3 linked regions of the Diceros bicornis minor genome follow. The protein of the gene in region 1 interacts with the protein of each later gene in a pairwise test. Links are inferred from orthologs where the notes say so. Each region holds a gene or a part of one and is shown in the gene's direction. Other genes may lie near its edges.

What was found.
Region 2: the proteins of MTUS2 (region 1) and RTP5 interact in binary tests that used the Homo sapiens proteins (3 or more experiments, as listed by UniProt). The two-hybrid records come from large-scale screens. The link is inferred for Diceros bicornis minor from reciprocal best matches to the Homo sapiens genes MTUS2 and RTP5.
Region 3: the proteins of MTUS2 (region 1) and TXN2 interact in binary tests that used the Homo sapiens proteins (3 or more experiments, as listed by UniProt). The two-hybrid records come from large-scale screens. The link is inferred for Diceros bicornis minor from reciprocal best matches to the Homo sapiens genes MTUS2 and TXN2.

What each region holds. Positions count from the first base shown.
Region 1 is NC_080748.1:12,171,045-12,178,099, forward strand, and holds the start of MTUS2 (microtubule-associated tumor suppressor candidate 2), read left to right. Parts: upstream 1-4,037; 5' UTR 4,038-4,259; coding exon 4,260-6,494; intron 6,495-7,055. UniProt on the Homo sapiens protein: Binds microtubules. Together with MAPRE1 may target the microtubule depolymerase KIF2C to the plus-end of microtubules. May regulate the dynamics of microtubules at their growing distal tip.
Region 2 is NC_080776.1:28,593,322-28,601,200, forward strand, and holds the start of RTP5 (receptor-transporting protein 5), read left to right. Parts: upstream 1-4,861; coding exon 4,862-5,013; intron 5,014-6,924; coding exon 6,925-7,879.
Region 3 is NC_080764.1:13,125,068-13,132,056, forward strand, and holds the start of TXN2 (thioredoxin, mitochondrial), read left to right. Parts: upstream 1-3,971; 5' UTR 3,972-4,073; intron 4,074-4,767; coding exon 4,768-5,030; intron 5,031-6,875; coding exon 6,876-6,989.

The sequences.
Region 1 (7,055 bases):
CCACCAATAGGCAGCGTTTCTTTTTACAGCTTCCACTTTCTGCCTGGATTTTACCTTCCTGTCTCTGTCCCTGCTCCGCCACTTCTTAGCTGTGTGACCTTGGGAATGTTACCCTCTCTGTGCTTTCACTTCCTTACCTGGAGAGAAAGAAAAAAGGCAAGGGGATGTTAAGATCTATCTCTGGAGGCCATTACAAATATTAAATAACTTAACTTAAAATTTAAGATTAAATAAAATTAATTATAATTTAAACATTAAATTTTGCAGATATGGATTAGTGCTGAGAATAATACTTGGGCCCTCGGAGGTTCTACCTTTCCATCCCCTTACCAATGTAACATTTATTGTTTACTGACAAAGAAAAAGAACATTTATTATGTAATTCTTTAAAAATTAAAATACAATTCTTTCTAGCAAGATACTGATTTTGCACCTGTTTGTCACTTTCTAGCAGTCAGATTGTGGATTGTGGTTTATGATGCTCTGGTTTTGCTGTCACTGCTGAGAATTCATTTCTTTCTTTCTCCCAGCTTCAATAGTTCAAACCAAAGAGGGCTCTTGGTTTCATGCTTTAAATTTTGCCCACAGAGAATCAGAGATGCTCACTTTCTGTGGATGGCCCATGTCTATGGAATTCCTTGCTCTCCCTGACTTTCTGGGATACCTGTTTCCTGACCCAGAGAGCACAGTGTTCTTTTAAACTGTTGTCTTATTGATTTGCCCACATGCTTTTTATATTTGTCCCCAGAGGACATTTGTATCTTCAAGGAAAACACTTTTAAAATGGAGTAAAGAAAGAAATGTGGGCTCATTGAGAATTACTTCTGTGTCAGGGAACCGAGGTTGGGAGCAGAGTGTCAGCACCTTGCTTAGGCTTGAGGGCTGTATCGGGCCAAGGCTGGAGCTGGCGGTGTCCCTGGTTCACTGAAGGCAGGCCTGGAAGAAGACAGAGAAGGAGAAAAAGAATGTGGGAGACACAAGGAAGTGGGAGGATGAAGATAGTGAGTGTGACATGAAGAGAACAGAAGAGCAGTGTGGTGGGAAACAAAAGCACACACTGCTATAGGTGTGTGTATCTGGATAGGAGTATACGGACATGGGGAAAGGAGTGGAGAGACCTGCACCAGGATGTTAGCGTGTCTTGGGCTAAGGGAAGAAGGGGCAAATAAAAAGAAAAAAAACTGACAAAAAGCCAGCTTATAGGAAATGATCTCATTTAAGTAAAAAATACATGCTTATGTAATAGATGCAAAAGAAATGAAAGGAAAAGAGAGCTCTATCAGCTGAGTTTTTAGGGATGTCCATGATAGGCTGTCAAGTGAAAAATTAAGTTAGAAAAGTTGGGAGCTGGGATGGAGAGGAACATGGAGGTAACTGCAATTTATTGGTGATTTCTCAGTCCTTGGTTCTAGGTGTTCATTATGTTATTTTGCTTTATAACATACATTTGTGTGTATATATATATATGTATATGTATTATGTATACATGAATGTATATACATGTATGAATACACAAATATTCTTTTTTTTTTTTTTTTTTTTTTTTTTTTTTTTTTTTTTTTTTTTTTTGGTGAGGAGATCAGCCCTGAGCTAACATCCGCCAATCCTCCTCTTTTTTTGCTGAGGAAGACGGCCCTGGGCTAACATCTGTGCCTATCTTCCTCCACTTTATATGGGACGCCGCCACAGCATGGCTTACCAAGCAGTGCGTCGGTGCGCGCCCGGGATCCGAACCAGCGAACCCCGGGCCGCCGCAGCGGAGCGCGCGCACTTAACCGCTTGCGCCACCGGGCCGGCCCCCTTCTTTTTTTTTTTTAAAGATTTTATTTATTTATTTTTCCCCCAAAGCCCCAGTAGATAGTTGTATGTCGTAGTTGCACATCCTTCCAGCCGCTGCATGTGGGACGCAGCCTCAGCATGGCCGGAGAAGCGGTGCGTCGGCGCTCGCCCGGGATCCGAACCCGGGCCGCCAACAGCGGAGCGCGCGCACTCAACCGCCAAGCCACAGGGACAGCCCACAAATATTCTTTTGAATGTATGAAATAATATATTAAACAATGATGAAGAGAAGACAAGCAGGTTGCCACGTAACTTATTTCAGTGGAAACGTGACAAGAGCCTCCCACGTAATGTGCATCTCAGTACTCGCATATTTTGTATGAATGAGGGGGAAGGTGTGGAAGGCTGTTAACTTTGAATCCCCATTGGGGGAATTGCGGACGGAGCGGAACCTTGTTCCTTTTAAACTCTCCCATCCCTGGTGCCTAATAAAATGTATTCACAGTAGTGGATAAAACAATGTTAGCCTTGAATTGAGAGGTTTAGGGATGATCTGTGAGTCTACTTTCATAGAAATTTAAATACTATGTTAGATTTTAAGCCCTATGAGAGTAAAAATAACATTGTTCTTCATCATTCATTCATTCATTCATTCATGCTACAAATACATATTAAGTGCCTAACACACATGCTAGGTGTTAAACGATATTTTCTTTAGTGTCTAGCACATCTGATTTTTTTTTTTTAAAGTGAAAATATGGGATATGATAAAAGGTCATTATAGAAGGAGGTCGGAAAGGCTAGTAGGTCGGGAAGGCTTCCTGGAGGAAGTGGTACTTATGCTGCAAACTGATGAATACAAAGGGGTTAGTTGAGTAACGTTGAGGGAAGAGTCCGCATTCTATGCAGATGGAAGAGTACGAGCAAAGCCCCCCCGAAGCAGGGAGGAAGGAACATGGTAATATGAAGAATGAGGCCAGTGTGGCTGCAGCCTAGAGAGGAAGAGGGTGAGTAGTGAGGATGAGGCTGGAAAGGTGTGTATGGGCTGGATCATGCAGGCCCTGAAGGCTGGGATAGAATTTTCCTCCAGCTTTTTATTTTGAAAAATTTCAAACTTATAGAACAGTTGTAGGTATAGTAGAATGGATCACCTAGATTTTCAAATTATCATTTGGCACAGTTGCATTTTCTCTCTCTCTCTTTCATATGCATCCCCACCCACCCCCCGACACACATATTTTTCTCTTTGTTGAACCACTGGAGAGTAAGTTACAGACAACATGTCATTAAAAGACATGTCATGTTTAAAAGCATGTATCTTCCAAGAACAAAGATTATCTGATATAATCACAATAGTATTATACACCCAAGAAAGTTAACATTGATAAAATACCTTTACCTAAAATACAATCCATATAGAAACCTGTAATTGTCCCAATAATATCCTTTGCTAATTTTTTGTAAAATCAAAGATCCAGTCAAGGATCACGCATCATTCGTAGATATCTGTTAGCATTTTGGAGGCAAGTTTAGGCCAGTTATTTTAAATTTGTCTGATTATTTCCTCATGATTAAATTCGGGTTGAACATTCATAGCGAGAATACTGCATAGGTGATATAGGTGCTGAGGACTGCCTACATCAGGAGCACGTGGTGTCAGTTTCCACTAGTGACATGGTAAATTTGATCACTTAGTTAAGGTGGTGCCTACCAGCTTTCTCCATTGTAAAGATAAAATTTTTCTTTTGTAAGAAATAAAGTAATCTGGAGGATGGTACCTTATGATTCCATGAATATCCTGTTCCCCAAACAACCTTTCAACCAGTATTTTTCAACCATTGGTGTCCCTTGCCCAAGATAATTATTACTCTGGTGACTACAAAATGATGCTTTTTCTAATTCTATAATTTTTCCTGTATTAGTTGATATTCTGTAAAGAAGAGCCTTCTTTTCTCCTCCACCCTTTTTAATCAGTCTTGGTATGAACTTGTAGGTTTTTAAAATTTAATTTTAAGATTTACTATGTTTTCATAATCTATTTCTAACATGAATCATTTTGATGTTCCAATTTTCCCATATTTGGCCAGCAGGAGCCCCTATCTGAAAGGTTTTTGAGAAATATGTGGATAGAGTGAATTAAATAATATTATGAAAGTGATTGTAATCTGTGTTTACTATGATTTTTTCTCCTGAGAATCTCTGTCGATCTAATCTGATTTATTTTTATTTCTCTCTAGGTCTCATGGACTAATTGGCTCTCATTCAGCAGGAACCTAGCAGATCAGTCATCCTGCTGTATGCCAAGACAATGCTTGGTTTTAAAACTGCTCTGAAAATGATTGTAGCAGTGTCGCAATGTGACATTGTCAGGGGGCAACAGGCAGCTTGAGAATTTCCTATTAATCAAATAGCAGCTTGAAGGAAGCCCCTTTCCATTAAGTAGGACTGCATGGCAAGCAGCCCCCACTGAAGGGTTGAAAATGAGCGTCCCAGTGGCTCCTAAGAAATCATGTTACACTCAGTTGCGGGACAACCGAAATGGAGTGAAAAATAATAACGAGAGTATCCTAAGTCTGGGGGATACCAATGCCAATCAAATCACATTGGAGGTCAGTTCCTCTCATGATGAGTCTGAGACATGTGACCTGAGAGATGAAGTTGGAAATGCAAATACAAGTGAGCCAGGAAATGGCACCCATTTCAATAAGGAATTTCACCAACTTCAGGGCATTGGGAAAGGATCTCACGCCGGCCCCACCAGCCTGAAAGATTTTAAGTTTTCTCCAACCGTTCCTAGAGAACTAAATGAAGAGCACACAATGGAGAGAGGCACACATATCCCGCAGACCCCTCGGAGTATTCAGGGACCAAGCCTGTCAAGTTGGAGGAATGTTATGGGTGAGTCCAGTCCAGAGGTTTTGGCTAAAAGGGATGTTGAAATTCCCCGGCCTGTTCCCAAGGATAAATTGGCAAAGACCCTTGACAATGAGGAATTGAGAAGGCATTCTTTAGAAAGAGCAAGCAGCTCTGCTCTTGCAGTGGACGTGCTCACAAAGGAGCGTGTTGGGAGCCTGACTCGGCAGTTTCTGCAGCCTGCACCGCTGGACTCCCCTGAAGCCCCCTGTCATGTGCCCAGCGGTGGGGAGGGGCCACAGAGGACATTGACAGCCCACTCTCTAGGGGCAGCTTTGCTTCCAGCTGACAATACCTCAGAGGGCAAGAGTTTGCGTCGTCCTAAATCATCTACCTCAGAAACCAAGGAGGCCACCCCCTCAGAGACCCAGATGGAGGGGGCACACGTACCGAAAGTTAGTGACAAGAGCACATCACGTTCTGCCCACCCAGAGCGTGCTCTGAATTCAACTTCAGCATCAAAGGAAGTCCTGAGTAAGCCAGAAGCACAATTAGGTCAGGGAAAGGCAGAGTCCAGGCCGGAGCTGAAATTTGTCCAACCCAGGGCCGTGCAGGAATTAAAGTCAACCCAGGCGGAGGGTCTGGGATGTCCTGAGGAGGATAGTATGTTGTCCCTAGAGAGAAAGGGGCCATGTGGGGAAGCACAGCAAGAAGCCACCGCTGGTACACTGAGCAGTCTGTCACATGGCAGTCTCCACCACGTTGGCGTGGGAAGAGGCAGGAGTGGTGAGCAGGAGAAGAGAGCAGTCAGCCTGGGTGAGGAGGGATTTCTTCAAACAACCCCCCAACAGAGCCCCGATTCCTTGGGAGCTGCTGATAATCAGCCCACTGGCAAAAATTCACCAAGTGCAGCTAGGAAATTGGGTGAAATGGCATCCAGCAGCATCTCACCAGGTGATGGTCATGTAGATTTTATTCCTAAAGATCCAACTGACAGCAGGCCCTTGGATGTGAGTGAGGGGAGAGAGGTGCTGGGCAGTGGGACCAGGGACAGTGCTACGGTTTCCACTTCAGATGCTTTGATTGGAGAGAGCAGAACTGAGGTCCCTGAGCCCCTTGACCCTCAAAGCAGCAGCTCAGAAGCAGGGGAAAGCAAAGAGATCATTACATCTGTTGCCAAAAGTAGGAACCGTCTAGAAAATGCAGTTAAGACTGAAAGTACCCCAGCAAGTACAGATTCTCCTCTCAATGTCCCAGCACCCCTCCACCCAGAGACAACTGTGAATGTGACCCACCAGCCTACACCACCCAGTAGCAGTTTTCAGGACTTCGGTGTGTTGAGTGTAGACACGGGGTCACCCTCGGCTGCCCCACCTCCCACCGACAGTGCGCGGTTGTTGACCCCTTCCCCGAAAGTGCCTGACAAGGACACCTGCCCCACTGGGATCCCCAAGCCTGTCGTCGTACGTTCCGAGGATGTACCTTTCTCACAGGAGGGAAAGGAGAACTACCAGGTTGAAAAAACAGAGGAAAGGACAGAGCCCAAGCCCGTCGTCATGCCCAAACCCAAGCACGTGAGGCCTAAGATCATCACCTACATCAGGAGGAATCCTCAGGCCCTTGGCCAGGTGGACACTTCGCTGGTTCCAGTGGGGCTTCCGTACGCTCCGCCCACATGTACCATGCCTCTTCCCCAAGAGGAGAAGGCGGCGAGTGGTGACCTGAAACCGTCTGCCCACCTCTACGAGAAATTCAAGCCAGACCTGCAGAAGCCCAGGGTCTTCAGTTCTGGACTGATGGTGTCCGGGATCAAGCCTCCAGGACACCATTTCAGCCAAATGAGTGAGAAGTTTTTGCAGGAGGTAAGAGAGTGTCATTGTGGTACGAACTATAGGTTGAACATCCTAAAGTTTGTTGTGTATTTTCGATGATTTATGAAAACAGAATATCCTCTCTTAGCAAATTGCAGATTTTGATGGATACACTTGTACAGAAATGGATGTTTTTAAGTAGAGGAGATCATAGACAAATGAACACTTTTGACTAGAAGAGTTTGGCGGTCATAATGAGATGGATTTAACATCTAAGGAGACTTGTTTAAATACCATATAATACATATGAAGTTAGATGTCTGCATTTAAATTGGCTCCTATGTTTAAATAAGTGAGGCTAATTCTTCTATAAGCCAGGTCAATGGAAAAAAAAATCCAAAATAAATATATTGTTCAAATTGATCAGACTTCACCCCCCAAGGGGGAATGTTTTCCTTACGGGAGATTCTCGCGTTCATGCATGTGAAGAACACAGTGAGTAGAAAATGATGTGTTAGGTGTGGGCTCTTTGTTTTAAGTGAGAATAATAATTACAACTGACGTTCGGTTGAGCGCCTGCTGTGCATTGGGCCCACAGAACATGTGTTTAAT
Region 2 (7,879 bases), on another chromosome or scaffold:
CGTGCACGCCTGCCTGCTTCATTCAGTGAGTGTCCCCCCGGCCGCCCTGCCGGCTGTGCTTTGAGGAGACAAGGCCCGCTGGCCCTGGCCCCCTTGTCCTCCCCTTTGTTGTGTCAGTTTCTGAGGCTCTCCCTGCTCCTTCCCGGGCGAGCCCCTGCCCCAACGGGGCTTGGCGGAGGTGACCAGCCCTGCGCTAGGTAGCAGCTGGGTTGGATGTGGGAGCGAGGAAGTCCTGGGACAGTGCGAAGAGCCTTTAGGAAAAGAACCGGCTGGACAGGGGCCACCGCCATCCAGATGCTGCTGCCCCAGCTGCCAACTGCAGGACCCCAGCCCGCCTGCCGCCCAGGGACGCACACCTTGACGTGACTGTGTGCCAGGGACGGGCCCACCAGCGGGCTACAGGCCCCAGGGTCCCAGGAGGCGGCCCGCCTTCCTGGAGCTGCGCACCCTCTGCTGAGGTTTGGGGGAGGGCAGGGCTGAGCCCTCACGCTGAGCTCCCTCGTTTCCCCCAATTTCTCTCCATGTCTATCTGTCTCTCTCAACCTCTCTCCTTCCCAGACACACGAGGTGGGGTCCTGTCGGCAGAGCAAAGCCATCCGTCAGCCAGCTGGCCTCGCGCTGGACTCTGCGATGCACTCCGCCCCCCGGCCAGGCCCCCAGCTTCCCTGATGTGCTGTCCCCGCCTCCGCCACCCCGCCCTGCCCCGCGTCCCGAAGCTGCACTTCTCTGGCCCAGCACCACAGAGAAGGGCTTGGGGGAACAGGCCCAGGCCACGCCCAGGCCAAGACAGGGACAGGTGCTCTGAGCATCGTCAACAGCAGGGGACTGTCCTTGTGGCTCCCCTGGGCTGTGAGAAGATCTGCTTTCAAATGCTCTACCCAGGGCCCCCCCGGGACGAGGGCTGCCCTCACCTTCCAGCCGCCCTCCCAAGGGTCGAGTTCAGAATTCGAGGGCGGGGAGGAGAGTTAGGAGAAGGGGGCCAAGAGGAGAGAGCGCGTCCACAGGGAGAGAGAGCGTAAGCGCTTCTGTCAGGCAGGGCAATATGCAGAGATGGTCCTGGTTTCTTCATCCCCATCCCAACCCGTTCTAGAGTCACCAAGGCCTCAGGGAGGTTGGTCATAGAGCAGAGGGTGGAGGGCGGAGGGCAGAGGGCAGAGCTGGGGCAGGAGTTGCTACCAAGCCTTGTTCTTAGAGGCTGTCCTTAGAGGGACCAGTGTCCACCCAAACGGTCTGAGGGGGAATTCTCTCACCTCCGCCTCCAGGCTGGACAATCGCACAGCTGGACCCACAACTTCAGGGCCACACTGCACATCTCAGGAACTGACAGAGTGCCCCACCCATCACTTCTCTGGTAGAGAAGAGGGGGTTCATAGCCGCCTGATTCGTTAGCTGGCCGGGTGAGCAGCTTTGGCGGGGTCTGGCGTGAAGGTTTGGGGGATTGGGAAATAGGCAGATGTGTACAGGTGCGTGGAGGCTGATGGCTCTGGGGTCTGCTGGCTGGGCCTCGAGAGCCGTTCTCTGGGGTAGGTTTAAGGAAGTCCCTCGAATGAGGAGAGTCAGAGGTGATGAGCTCCTTGCACATCGTAAGGGTCAGTATTATCCACTAAAAGATGATTTTCAGGTGGTGGTGGTCAGTCATAATTCCATAATTTTAAACTCAGAGGGGGGTTGAGGTCTTGGGAGTAGAGGAGCCTGTGGGGTGTGCCTGGCAGACAAGGCTGTGATATGGCCCCACAGAGCACGGGTTCCTGCTCCCAGCATGGTGTGGAAGTAGCCAGGGCCACTGGGCCTGGAGGGGCCATGCAGAGAGAAAGGGCTACAGCTGTCCCTCAGATTTCTGCCTGGCCACGTGACCAGGACCACATGGGTGCCCACATACACACAATGGCCCCAGACCAACTAGCAAAACCCAGGGCCTTCAGCACAGCCCCTAAGGTATCAGTTAGAATTGCTATGATTGGCTGGGTGGCAACCAAAAAACCCCCAGAAAACAGTGCCTTAAGATAACAGTGGCGGCTAAAAGTTTATTTCTGCCTTGAACAAGAAATCCAGAGGCAGACAACCCAGAAGTAGTACAGTGACTCCTAGTGTTATCAGGGATCCAGGGTCTTGCCTTTCTGTTTCCTCAGCACATGGCTCCATCTGCAAGGTTACCTCATGGTCTAAGATGGCTGCAGGAGTGCCAGCCATCATCTCTGCACTGATCAACAGAAGAAGATTAAAGTGGAGTGGGAGAAGTAGGACTTTCCCCAGCTATCTAGTCCCACATTATGGAACCTTCCCAGAAGCACAGCCCCCAAATTTCCTCTTATATCTCCTTGTCATGCTTAACTGCAAGGCAGAAAGATGTCACATAGTTGAAAGAGAGCCAAAAAGAAGTTTCAGAAATGAAAAATATGATAAGAACAACAACTCACTTCACAGGATTAGCTGTAGACTGGACAAAGATGAGGAGAGAACTGGTGAACTGGTAGAAAAATGAGAAGAAATTGCTCATATGCAGGCTAGAGATACAGAGTCACAGAGACACGGAGGATGCAGGGGGAGGTCCAGGCCTCATTTGATTCAGTTCCACAGGAACTCAGACAGGTGACAGGCAGAGCATCTGTTCCGTCCTGAAGGGGTGGTTCACCTTAGACGATAATCATGCTAAGCTTGCGTGTTGGAATTTCCAAGGCGACCAACACAAGAATCAAAGCAGCGTTGGGCCGGCCCCGTGGCTTAGCAGTTGGGTGTGCACGCTCCGCTGCTGGCAGCCCGGGTTCGGATCCTGGGCGCGCACCGACGCACCGCTTCTCCAGCCATGCTGAGGCCACGTCCCACATACAGCAACTAGAAGGATGTGCAGCTATGAAATACAACTATCTACTGGGGCTTTGGGGGAAAATAAATAAATACATAAATAAAATCTTAAAAAAAAAAAAAAGAATCAAAGCAGTGTAGCATCCAAACTCGTAGAAGGATGAGCGTGGAATGCTGAGAGAATCAACCCGCCCAGCGGCAGGAAAGGAGAGACAGAGAGCAGCCAGAGCAGACCGCTGCTCGGCTTGGCCGGGCTGATTCAAGGGGCTGAATAAAGGGCACTTGGTGCGTGAGCGGCTGCAGGAAAGGCCCAGAGAAGCCCGGATCCCAGGCGGGGCAGAGGCAGTGGCTTTGGAACCGGGAGATGGTTGTCCAGCAGGCGCTGGGACCCTCAGCGGAGGGAGACAGCGCACACGGCCCTCCATGTGGACGAGTGGGGTTGAGCGCTTCCCTCTGCCCAGGGCGGGTGGAGGCCCCAGAGCACCCACATTGCAGGGGCCCCTGTGGGGGACGGGGTGTTCCTCGGCTGGGCCCTGCTCTCTCCTGGGACAGAGTCGGAGATCGCCTGGGGACAGCTTCCTTTCCCACCACCTCTGGAGCCATTACGGGCACTGGGGGACAAGGCCTTGCTGGCCACTGGGCAGCTGTCAGCGCTGAGCTCCCTGCAGATGTGTCGGGAACCAAGACTGTCTCAGTCTCATGTGGTCAGAGCCTGTTAGTCTCGCCAACGCTGAGCTGCGGTCTCCTGGCTCCCGTCCCACTCGGCTGCCTGTCAACAGCACGGGGAGCACCCGCTCCCTGGGCATGCTGCTGGTGAGCTCCGGGGTCGGGGTCCCCGGGCCATGCTGCCCAGAGGAGAGGAGGTGCTGGGCACCTCCTGCAGCCCGGGGGCTCTGCTAGGAGCTGTGACGGCCATGCCTCCACGTGGCCCTGGTCCCAAGGCCGCGTCCTCAGCGGTGGTCGTCCAAAGGCGCTCTCCGTTTGTCTCTCATCCGCGTGCTCTCACCCGGCGTCTTCCCCTCCTGGGCTGGCAGCCCTTCCCCCTCTGCCGTGGAACGTTGGCTGGCTCTCTCCTCAGTCCACCTTTTCCTCTCGCCCCCGACAAACTGCTGCTACAAGTGGCTTCACAAACAAGAAGGCGAGAAGGTGAGAGAAGCCAGCCGCACAGACACAGAATGCGTAACAGAGGGTTCCTTTTACAGGAAGCTCCAAGCAATAAAAGGAAACGACCGTGCGTGGGGACACACCTCGGGTGGTGGGGCTGGAAGGGGCCCCAGTGGGCGGGTGGTGCCTCCGCGGGAAGGGCGTGCTGAGCGCAGGGAGGGGCATGTGGAGGGCTTTGGGGGGCTGGATTCCTTCAGGTGCTGAACTAAGACTTCATGATAATTTGAGAAGCTGTGCATTATGTTTTAGGCATTTTTACATAAATGTTGTACACTTCTAGCCAATAAAAAGTTTGGAAAAAAATGGAAACCGTGGGAAAATTCACAGTGATACATGTTCAGTAAAGTTCCTCACGGCCGTGTTTGTAACGGCAAAGAATTAGCACCGTGCAGTTCAAGGACAGAGGCAGGGCCAGCAGGTTACGGCACAGCCGTAGACTGGACGATCCCGGATGTTCGAAGTGGTGAGGATAGCGCACTGCCCACGACACGCCGTGGAGCAAGAAACGCAGCTCTAGGACAAGTTGTTCCGAGGGTTTCCGGTTTGTGAAAAATGAATATGAACATTTACACATACACGTGCATAGAAAAACGCGTGGATGTCAGCACCACTGCGATGATTATGGGCGATTTTATTCTATTGTATTTTTTTCCTTTTTATTTATCTGTTTGTTTCTAATTTTTCCTAAAATGAAAACATATTGCTTGCGTAATAAAAAATATTCAGAAGGATAAGAAAAAAGGCCAGCTTCTCATTTCTCCGAGACAAGCCTGGTTGTCATGGAGACTGGATGGTTGTCAAGGCAGCGATTGGCCAGTGGAGCTGGTTGCAAGAGCTTCCTTGGAGCCGGGAGCTGGTGCAGCCCTCAGACCGCACTGCAGAGCCTGGCGCCAGCATGGACGGGGTGGACGTGTGGGCCAGCACCTTAGCCCAACTGATGACCAAGAGGAAACCCCAGGACACCTGGGAGCTGCTCCCTGAGGAGAACCTGGCCTCGGGGCACCTGGACAGCAGCGGTTTCCAGTACCGGCTGAGGGGGCTCTCGAGGTGCGGCTGTGGGGGTCCTCCTTGGGGTCCCAGGAGGGGAGGGGGCTGAAGGCTGCTTAAGCATTGGCCCTCGGTTGGCCCCGTGTCCTGAGGCCAGGCTAGGTGTGGCCCAGCACCTGGGGGGGTGGGATGCGGGCGAGTGTCTGGCCTGGGCTTGGCCCCAACAGGTGGGTTGGCGGGTGCTCCTTCTCCCTCCCAGGAAGTGGGGGTGTTGGAGGGACAGCGCCTGTTCAGTCCCTTTCAGCCCGGTGAGCTGAGACCCTGCCTGCGGTGCCGGCCACCGAGCTCAGCCTGGGCCCTGCCGCAGTTGGGGGGTGACGCGGCCGCCACCGCCACATCTTCTGGTTTCCATGGCAGCGCTGATGGGAGCAGGGGATGGGCAGGCGCCCGCGGTCACTGCCTGCCCTGCGCTGCACAGGGGCCTGAGGGACCGGGAAGCTGAGAGACACATGCAGGGAGCAGGCCCCGAGAGGAGGGGTAGCAGTCCCCGGCCTGGGCTGTGGGCGAGTGGGGGCCCAGCTCGGGGGCTCCGGTGGCCACGGGTCACTACGTGAGCCTCACTCTTCATCATCATGACGACAGCTGGCGTCATTGCAACGGGGACAGGCCTGACCTGCAGGAGCCACCCAGCCAGGCGTCCCCAGTCCCCGGGACCTGACTGGGGAAGGGGACCTCAAAGACAGGTCACTGTGGGGCCCCCGTGGGCAGCTGCCCTTTGACACGGATGCCACAGCTCCCAGCGTCCGAAACCCCGGGGGCCGGGTGTGCGGGGGAAGGCTGGCCTTCTCAGGTGATAGGAAGTGACAGTCCTCGGTGCATCAGAGAAGCACCTTCAAACACCTTACTGTTCCCACGGCCAAACTGAAGGACTCCACAGGGTCGAGATGAGGACCAGAAAGATTGTTCAGTTGGTTTTCAGTTTTCACCGATAGAAACGCCAGCCAGTGGATGGCCACGTACTACAGACCCACGTCCTCCAACACAGCAGCCGCTGGCCATACGCGGCCTGCCATGTGCTTGTGGATTAAATGTAAATACAGCTGGAAGTTCCCTTCCTCAGGGCACTCCCTGTGTCCAGGTGCTCCTTGCCACTTGTGGCTCCCGGCTGGGCGCAGACAGAACAATCCCACTGTCATGGAAAGTTCCCCCGACGCTGATCAGCTTCCCGGGGAAACGCTCCATGAAACCTCCAGGCATGCGGGTCCCCACACACGTGTGCAGGTGCCACAGTGATCACAAGCCTTGGAGAGAGGGCGCTCACCTGCGGGGCCTGGGACACGCACACCGTCATCCTCCAGGGACCGGCACGTGGCTCCTCTTCAGTGCGGGGAGGCGTGCGGCTCTCGCTCCCACGTGCAAAGTCAGCGTGACGGCACCCCAGCAGGGGGACTCTCCAGCCCTCACTGCTTCTCTGTCCCCCGAGACCTCCCCATCACCCAGTCTCGTGCGGCAGGGAGCCCCCGAATTTATCTCCCCGTCACCTTCTCTCCCTTGGGCAGGGCTCCTCTTTCCAGGGCCCCCACGTCCTCTCCGCAGCACCCCACCTGCTACTCCCCCCGACTGGTATCCACAGGCCTGCCTTTGCCTCTTCGTGACGTTTCCTCAGGGCGATTATGCCCCGAGTCACAAAAGAACAGAAAAGCAGCGGCTGCAGCAGCGAACACAGAGTGACCCCTCACGTGCGTCAGGCCAGGCTCTGCCACCGAGTGGGTTTTGTGCCAAACTGATGAAAAGGTGCTTGCTTTTCAGCTCTTCAGATTATGGGTTGCAGACACAGTGTGCGCCAGCATCTGTCCCTTTGCAGATGGGGGCTCGGGGTTATGGAACTCCACTGGGCCTCGCTCCTCGCCCTCCTGGGGAGCAGGAGGGCGGCCCCCTCCCCTCCGCTCACTGCCTCTCTCTCCTCTGCAGGCTCCAGTGTGGCCGCTGCCAGTGGGGCTGGTCCTCGGCCCACGTGCACATCCTCTTCCATATGTGGTGGGATGAGGACAGCCGGCTGGGGCTGGTGAAGATGCGCATCTGGGGCCAGCGGTGCCGGCTGTGCCCGCCGGGCGCCCAGCGGGACTGCCAGGTGAGCCTTCTGAACGTGCGGCTCTTCCTCAACAAGCTGGTCCTGTTCATCCTGCAGAAGTGCTACCGGGAGACCCTCAGCTCTGACCAGTGCCCTGAGATCTGCTTCAGTGAGCGCTGCGAGGCCTGCGACCTGGGGGTCTGCTTCTTCCAGAAGCCCCCGGACCCCGCTTGGGGGCCGGAGGTCAAGAGCCCCATCCCCATCAAGGGCAGGTATGCCTTGTACGGCAGCAGCTCGGCCGTCACTGCTGAGAAACAGTCACTGACGCTCCGCAGCAGCCCCTCGGGCGAGCGCTCCTGGGGCTACACCCCCAACTCCATCTGCACGCCCCTGTCCGTGTCTGACTTCATCAGGAACCCCTCCGAGAGCAGCAACTTCTTCAGCGAGGACGAGGACATTGTCACCATCCCCTTCTCCCTGTTGGGTCTGGGCAGGGAAAAGGGGACCGTCACTGATGCCAAGGGCTGTGTCCTCCCCAGAGAGGGCTCCCTCCCTGCGGCTGACCGCAGAGGGCCGCTCATCATTGGCAAGGGCTCCATCTACCTGCCCACTCGGTCCACAGCTACACCCAAGGGCAGAGGCCTCCCAGTGGACATCAGGGCCCCCGTCTTCCAGGGCAGAGGCCTCCTCACCAGCAGCATCAAGCCCTTCGAGATCAAAGGCTTCATCTTCAAAGGCCGAGGCTCCCTTTCCAGCCCTGCTGGCGTCGATGAGGGCCAGGGCCCCGTCTCTGCCAGCAATGGCCCCATCACTGCTGGAAATGACTCACGGCCAGTGTCTTACATCTTTGGCCTC
Region 3 (6,989 bases), on another chromosome or scaffold:
AGACCTGACCAGGCAGGAACACATGAGGAGCCTCACCTCAAAAGCAGGAAGGATCCAGAATGTGCCCTGGTACACTGGTGCCCCAGCCTGCACATGCCTACTGAGGGCAGTGGCCTCACACTGGGGTGGGCAAGTGAGGGAGACAGCATATGCCCACCTACATCACAGCCATGACACTCTGGATCTACCATCCCAGGAGGCAGCAGTCACCAGTCTATGAGCTAAGGGCTACATTGAGGTTCCAGTGTCAAGTCTTTATGTTCAGAAAGGGCTGAGGGGACATTGTGTAATTGCTGGAAACACGACAGAACATGAATCACAACAGAACACGAAACCAGCTTCTTGAATTGCAAAACATAAGTCACAGTTCCAACTGTTCTGTAACAGCATTTAAAAAAACAAAAAACAAAAATTACCATCAAGATGGAAACTGAAAACAAAGATACTCTAGGAGCAACGCATCTCAGAGAGGAACTCACTAGCAGCTTACACTGTAGCCCACCACCTCTCTGCCTGTGTATTTTTTAAGGTGCCTTTCTCCAGCCATAAAATCCTAGAACACGCAGTCACTGAGATGCACCTGTCCCACAGCCCTGTCCCCTGTGATCGGCCCTGCAGACCTGAGGAAGCCTGTATCCCAAGGCCATGCTCAGCTTGCCTGGCCTGCCATGGAAGAGGTTGCAAGAACCACACTGCCACCATGTGGGCACCTCTGCTTACAGCCGCTGCTGAGAACCACTGCTGCCCGCCCTGTCACCAGCTGCAATCCCCCGGGGTTTGAGCCCACATTGCCCTCTGATGGCCTAGATTGGCTGGCTGGTAGTCAAATCAGGCCCTTGCTAGGGGCGGGTTAGGACCTTTACGCTTCCACCTCCTACTACCTGGGTGACCCTGGACAAGCTACTTAACCTCTATGTGCCTCAGTTTTCCCATCTATAAGATGGCGGCTATAACAGCACCCACCACATAGGGTTGTAGGATTAAATGAGTTAATACATGTAGGGTAGTCAGAACAGTGTCAGGTATTTGGTAACTCTTCATCATATCAGTAGCTTTTAAACTCTTGACCATGACCCACAGTAAAAAATACATTCTACATCACAATCTAGGACATACAGCCATATAGGCATGACACCAAGAAACGTTTCACCAAATGATACTTATAACATGCGACATACTCTGATATTTTCAATTCTGTTTTTTTAAAAGCTGCTGACCACAACCCACTAAATGGATTTCACAAACCCACTGATGGCTCACATCCCACAGCCTGAAAAACACTGCAATAAATGTCGGTAAGGGGTGGCACTAGAAGCTTTACCCTTAGCTCCTTCCCTTCCCTCACACCTGTGCCCTGAGCCTGCCTGTGACTGAGCCAGACCCAGGCCAGGTCAGCTCTGGCTGGGCAGATGAGCCACCATATAGCTTGTAGCCTATTGTGTGAGCAGCCTTCCCTATCCATCTCACAGGCTCCCTCCCTGCAGAAGGGAAGGAGACTCCTTCATTCCTCAGGCACTGCCAGTGTGCCAGGCCCTGTCCTCCATCCTTCCTCTGAGGAAGGCATCATTCTTCCCACTTGTCAGCTGAGAAGCCTGAGGCCAAGAGAGGTGAAGTGACTACGGAACAAGGACAAACAGCACTGGTCCTCCTTTGGAATTCAGAATGTGAATTAAGCAGGGAAATTGGCCTTCCAGAAAACGCTGTGGAAATGCTGAATAGGATTTAGGGGCAGTATAGCCTCTAGGAGGCTTTGGAAGAGAAAGTGCTGGAGACACAGAAAAACAGAAATGAAAATGGACAGGGTAGGAATGCCCCTGCCAGATGGCATCCGGCATTAGCAGGAATAGCTGCACCAAGGGGTGCTGACCTCAGGAGAGCCAGGGGCACTGAGAGTCCCACGTGGATCACCACTGTTGGCTCCAGTCCTAGGTGGGGACAGAGGCAAAAGTAAGAGATCAGACAGGGCAGAGAAGGCCAGGCCTGCCCATGCCCTCACCTAGTCTCTGCCTGCAATGGACAAGGGACTCTATTAAGTGGAAGGCTGACCTGGCTGCTGGTGGCCAGAGGACGTGGACCTATTCCAAGGATTCCCTCACCTCATCCCAGAAGAAGGTCCTCGCACAGCTATGGCTGTGGCCCTGCCTGCCCAGGGAGTGAGGGAGTGAACCTGCCAACTGGACAAACAACAGCGTGATGTGTCCAAGACCAACTGGAAAAAAAACATGGCAGTGATTTTGGAAGGGAACAATGGGACCATGCACTGTGGTGGGGAAAATGGGATTTGGGGTGAGAAGCTTTGATGTGAGTCCCTGCTCTCTGTTCATGGAACAAATAATCCCTGAGCACCTACTGTCATGCACCAAGGCTTGAGGTAAGCAGTGGAGAGACAGACAGAGCCCCAGGAGCTGACAGTATAGTGAGGAGTGAGGAATAAAGAAACAGGGACAGTACGGAGTCTTGAGTGTGGTGACTGATAGATGCACAGGGGCTGTGGAAGCTCAGAGGAGGGCATCCACTCGGGCTCCAGGAGGCTCAGGGAAGGGTCTCTTCCCTGCGAGGATGCCTAATCTGGTATCTGCTGGCATCTTCTCAGATGGAGAGAGGAGGAAAAGCCTTCCAGTCATAGGGAGTAGCAACTGCCAAATGCAGGGATGGGAGAGACACTTAAGCAAACTCTGGAACTATAAGTGATTCCCCCCTGCTGGGGTGTAGACTGAAACGGACGTGTGAGATGGGACTCTGCCAATCTCCTGCTGATCTCTCTGACTGTAAACCACTCCCTGAGATACCCAAAGACATTCATTTAACAAGCATCCATTGAACATCCTCTGTGAGCCAGGCTCTGTATCAGGTTGGTGCTGGGCACGTGGAGTCAGAGAAAAGTCACAAATCCCCACTCTCAGGAAGCATGGGTCTAGTGGAGGAGACAGACACTGTGCAATGCGTTATGTAAGAGTTAGGAATGAAGCACTAGAAAGAAGGAAGTAATTAATGCGGCTCAAGGAAGAGGTGATGAGTGGGTGTTCTACCAAGGGGAGAAAGAAAAAAGTATTTCAAATTAAGGGAAGGCAAGGAGGAAGGAGAAGGCACTGATGTATTCACAGAACCCCAAGAGGCCAGAGTGGTTGTCATGTAAGGTACAGGGTGCAGGGGAGGCGAGGTGGCTGTGACACCAGCCTGGGATGCACAGGTCCTAGACCCCTGTTGTCCGTGACAGTGACAAAGGGTGTGAAAGGAAGGCCCAGGCCCAGGCAGGCTCACAGGTCACCACACTCAAGGCAGGCCCTCCAGGGTCACCACCCTCTGGCGCCTGGCCCAGTTCCCCAGCAACTCCAAGGAGACAAGCTTGAGGGGCCTGGGTCACGACAAGCCCGGCCCCTGGTGTCACATCCTGGGAAACTGAAGCCCCCAGGGGCACGGTGACGCGCCAGAACTTCGAGGTCACAGAGCTGTGTGTGATAGACGAGGGCCACACGGCGGCTTCCTGACTCCCAGTCAGGGTCTACTATGCCTCGGAGGGGCTTAGCTTCCTCATTCGTAGGATGGAAGGAAAGAACCTTCCAGCACCTCTACGAGTTTTTGGAAGACAATGCGACAGACGGGCGGGCAGTGCAGGTTGACCAATAAGGCGGCAGGAGTTTGCAAAATCCGGAACCACACCTCCCTCCCGCCCTCTTCTCCCTCTCGTACCTCCCCCGTGCTCCCGCCTCCCTCCACCTTCTCTTCCGGACCCTCCCCTGGGGCCCGCCCGCCTCTTCCGGTCCCTCCCCCGAGGGCCGTCCCTACTTCCGGTTCCTCCCCCCGGGGGCCGCCCCCCGTCTTCCGGTCTCTCCCCCGAGAGCCCCTGTCTTCCGGTCCCTAACTGAGGCTCCGCCCCTTTAGCTGGGCCTTCCCCCGCCGTTCTCATTGGCGGAAAATCGGAGCCGCCCCTCAGGTTGCGGAGAGACGTGCTCCAGAGTGCCTGTCCCCGGAAGTGGCCGTGGAACGGCCCTCCTCTGAGGAAGTGACGGCAGCAGTGCCCTTGACAGGCGCGGAGGGCCGGGCCGTGCACCTTCCGCTGGCGCTGCAGGGAGGTAGGAAGCCGTGGGGGCGGCTCTCGGTGCTGTAGCGGCTGAGGCGCGCTGCGGGCGCCTTCCTGCGCGGCGGGCGGCCGAGCGGGCGGAGGCCCGGGGCGAGGGAACCTGCTCTCCGGAGAGCCGGGGTCCCCCGTGGCGTCCGTTCCCCAGTTCCCTCCACACACACGTCCCTCCTTTTTGCGTCCCCCCCACACTCCTGTTCTGTGCCTGTTAGTTCCTCCTTAAATTGTTGCGGTTCCTCCTTCCTGATGCTTTCACAACCCCCTTTTCCTTAATTTCCCATTAAAACACTTCTTAATAGAGTGATCGATAGCGTAAGGACTTTGCAGACGGCCTTTGGTTCCAGTATTGACTCGTTTAACTAGTTGGGTTACTTTGGGCACCAGCTTACCCGAGCCCCGGATTCTTTCTCTGTAATGTGAGCGATACTATGGAAACGTCCTCAAAGTAGATCTGGGAGGACTAGGGTGGATGCAGGGCACTTGGCCCTTGGCAGGTGCTCTGTAAATGTTGGTTCTTTCCTCCCTTTCTTCTTGTAATTCAACCAGTATCCTAATTTCTTTACTATTTCCTGGCATTTTGCTTCCAGCCCTGCATCTTGAGCCCCCCAGTTCTCCCAAATACCTTTCTTTTTCTGGTGTGTTGACTGCATGTTGTCTGCCCCAGCTCTTCCTGCCTTTTCCCCTCACAGATGGCTCAGCGACTTCTCCTGAGAAGGTTCCTGGCCTCCATCATCTCCAGGAAGCCCACTCAGGGTCGGTGGGCACCACTCACCCCCTGGGCCCTGCAGACCCCACAGTGCAGTCCTGGTAACCAGACAGTGACACCCAGCCAAGCCCGGTCAATATACACCACCAGAGTCTGTACGACCACCTTTAACATCCAGGACGGACCTGACTTTCAAGACCGAGTTGTCAACAGTGAGACACCAGTGGTTGTGGATTTCCATGCACAGTGAGTCCTGGGGTCAGCAGAAGACTGGGGTGTCGCTTGTTCAGGTATTGATTGAGTGCCTGCTCTGTCTCAGTACCACGTTTGATGCTTCTCGTGCACAGACTCATTGCAAAGACTCGTAAGACCCAATCCCTGCTCTCAGAGATTGAGTGCAGTCTGGTAGGAGACAAACTGATAAACAGGCCTCAAAGCTCGCTGTGATTAGTGCTGAGAAACTCTTGACGCTCTGTGTCTCTGCCTGAATGGGTCAGTCACCTTCAGCCTGGACAAAAGTGGGAAAAATATGACTATCACATTCTCTGGTTGTTGGTGTGTACCAGTTCCTGGCCCTGCAGATAAGTTGATTTTATTTCAGCATCTTGCCACCAAAACCGGGAAAGGCTGGCAAAAAGTTACCAGTGCCACCACAGTGGTGCCCGAGCATGCAGGGACGGGCAGGCGTTTCTTTTCAGTGCTGTATGAGTTTGTGTTAGGGATATTTAAAGGGCTGTAGCCTTCTGATTGTTAGCCTGGTCTTCATTTCCAGACCCTTGTGGCCTGGCTACAAAAAACTGGACAAACCCCTTAAAATTAGACATTCTAGAAGGAGCCAATGTAGCCTGAGTTAGAAGTTGGGAGGCCTTCTGAACAAATCTCTGACAGGCTCTTTTGCTTTCTACCCCATTCTTCCTCTGACTCACCATGTCGCCTTGGGCAGGCCATTTGATGTCCTTGTCCCTCCCTTTCTTTCCTTGTAGTAGGAGATGAGGGCTTGCAGACTGGGCTGTTAGGTGTTGTGAGTTCGTGCATTGAAATCTCTGAATGGAAAGGGTTTTAATGGCTGAGGATAAAATAGGCGTCATCGACCAGGGGTTCATGGGATCAGAGCTGTTCTGCCCTCCTGGTATGGTGAGCACTCCAGAGAGCACTTCCAAAAGGAATGATAAATGGAGTGATGCCTCATTTTCTTCTCCAACAAGGAAGCAAGGTGCGAGTTTGTTCATTTAGTGCCAGGCACTGCCCTTAGTGCCACACACCTAGAGATGACAGCCTATTCTCAAAGAGCTCCCCACCCGGAGGGGACACCTCCCTGGTAGCAGTTGACACAGGGGCTGACACCGAATTGTCTGGGGCTGAAAGAGGACACTTGGAACACGACCTGGGTTGCAACCCCAGCTGTGCTTCTTACTAGCTCTGTGACCTTACACAAGTTTCCTAACTTGTATGGGACTCAGTTTCTTAGGAAGATGTTTTCTTTCCCTTTGCAGGGTTGAGGGTTCTGTGCAGTAGAAGCTGAGAAGGTTCCTGGCGCAGTGACTGGCGTGTCGTAGACACTCACTAGCCATTGGTTTCCCCTCCCTTTAGTTCCCAGTCCATGAGGTGTCGGAAGTCCCTACAGCTCACAGACCATGTTTATCCACGTTGCCTTAGTTGCTTTCTCATCACAGCTTTGAGAGGCAGAGTCTCTCTTTTGCAACTGAGGAAACTGAGGCCCCAGAACAATCAGCTGGTTGGTGAAGAGCCTTTCTTTGAACCCAAACCTTTTAACTTCAAGTCCCATATTCTTCTATATGACCATATTTTTTTTAGATATATTGAAATAAATGAAATAACCTTTATAAGAGTGTTATGATGAGGCCTGTGCTTTAATAGTCCGGGACCTGTGCAGATTCCTCTGTTGCAGAGTCTCCTGGCGTTACCCTTTGGCATGTCAGCATTACAGGTTAATAGTCAAACACTGTAAACAGAGGTAATAAGGGCAAAAGGTCCCTCAGGAAGATGTGCGTCAAGGGAAGGTTCTGGGGAGACCACAGATGGATTGTCAAGTGCTCTTGTGACAGGATGCTTCCTTTCTCCCCTCCCGAGGTGGTGTGGTCCCTGCAAGATCCTGGGGCCGAGGTTAGAGAAGGTGGTGGCCAAGCAGCATGGAAAGGTGGTGATGGCCAAGGTGGATATTGACGACCACACAGACCTCGCCAT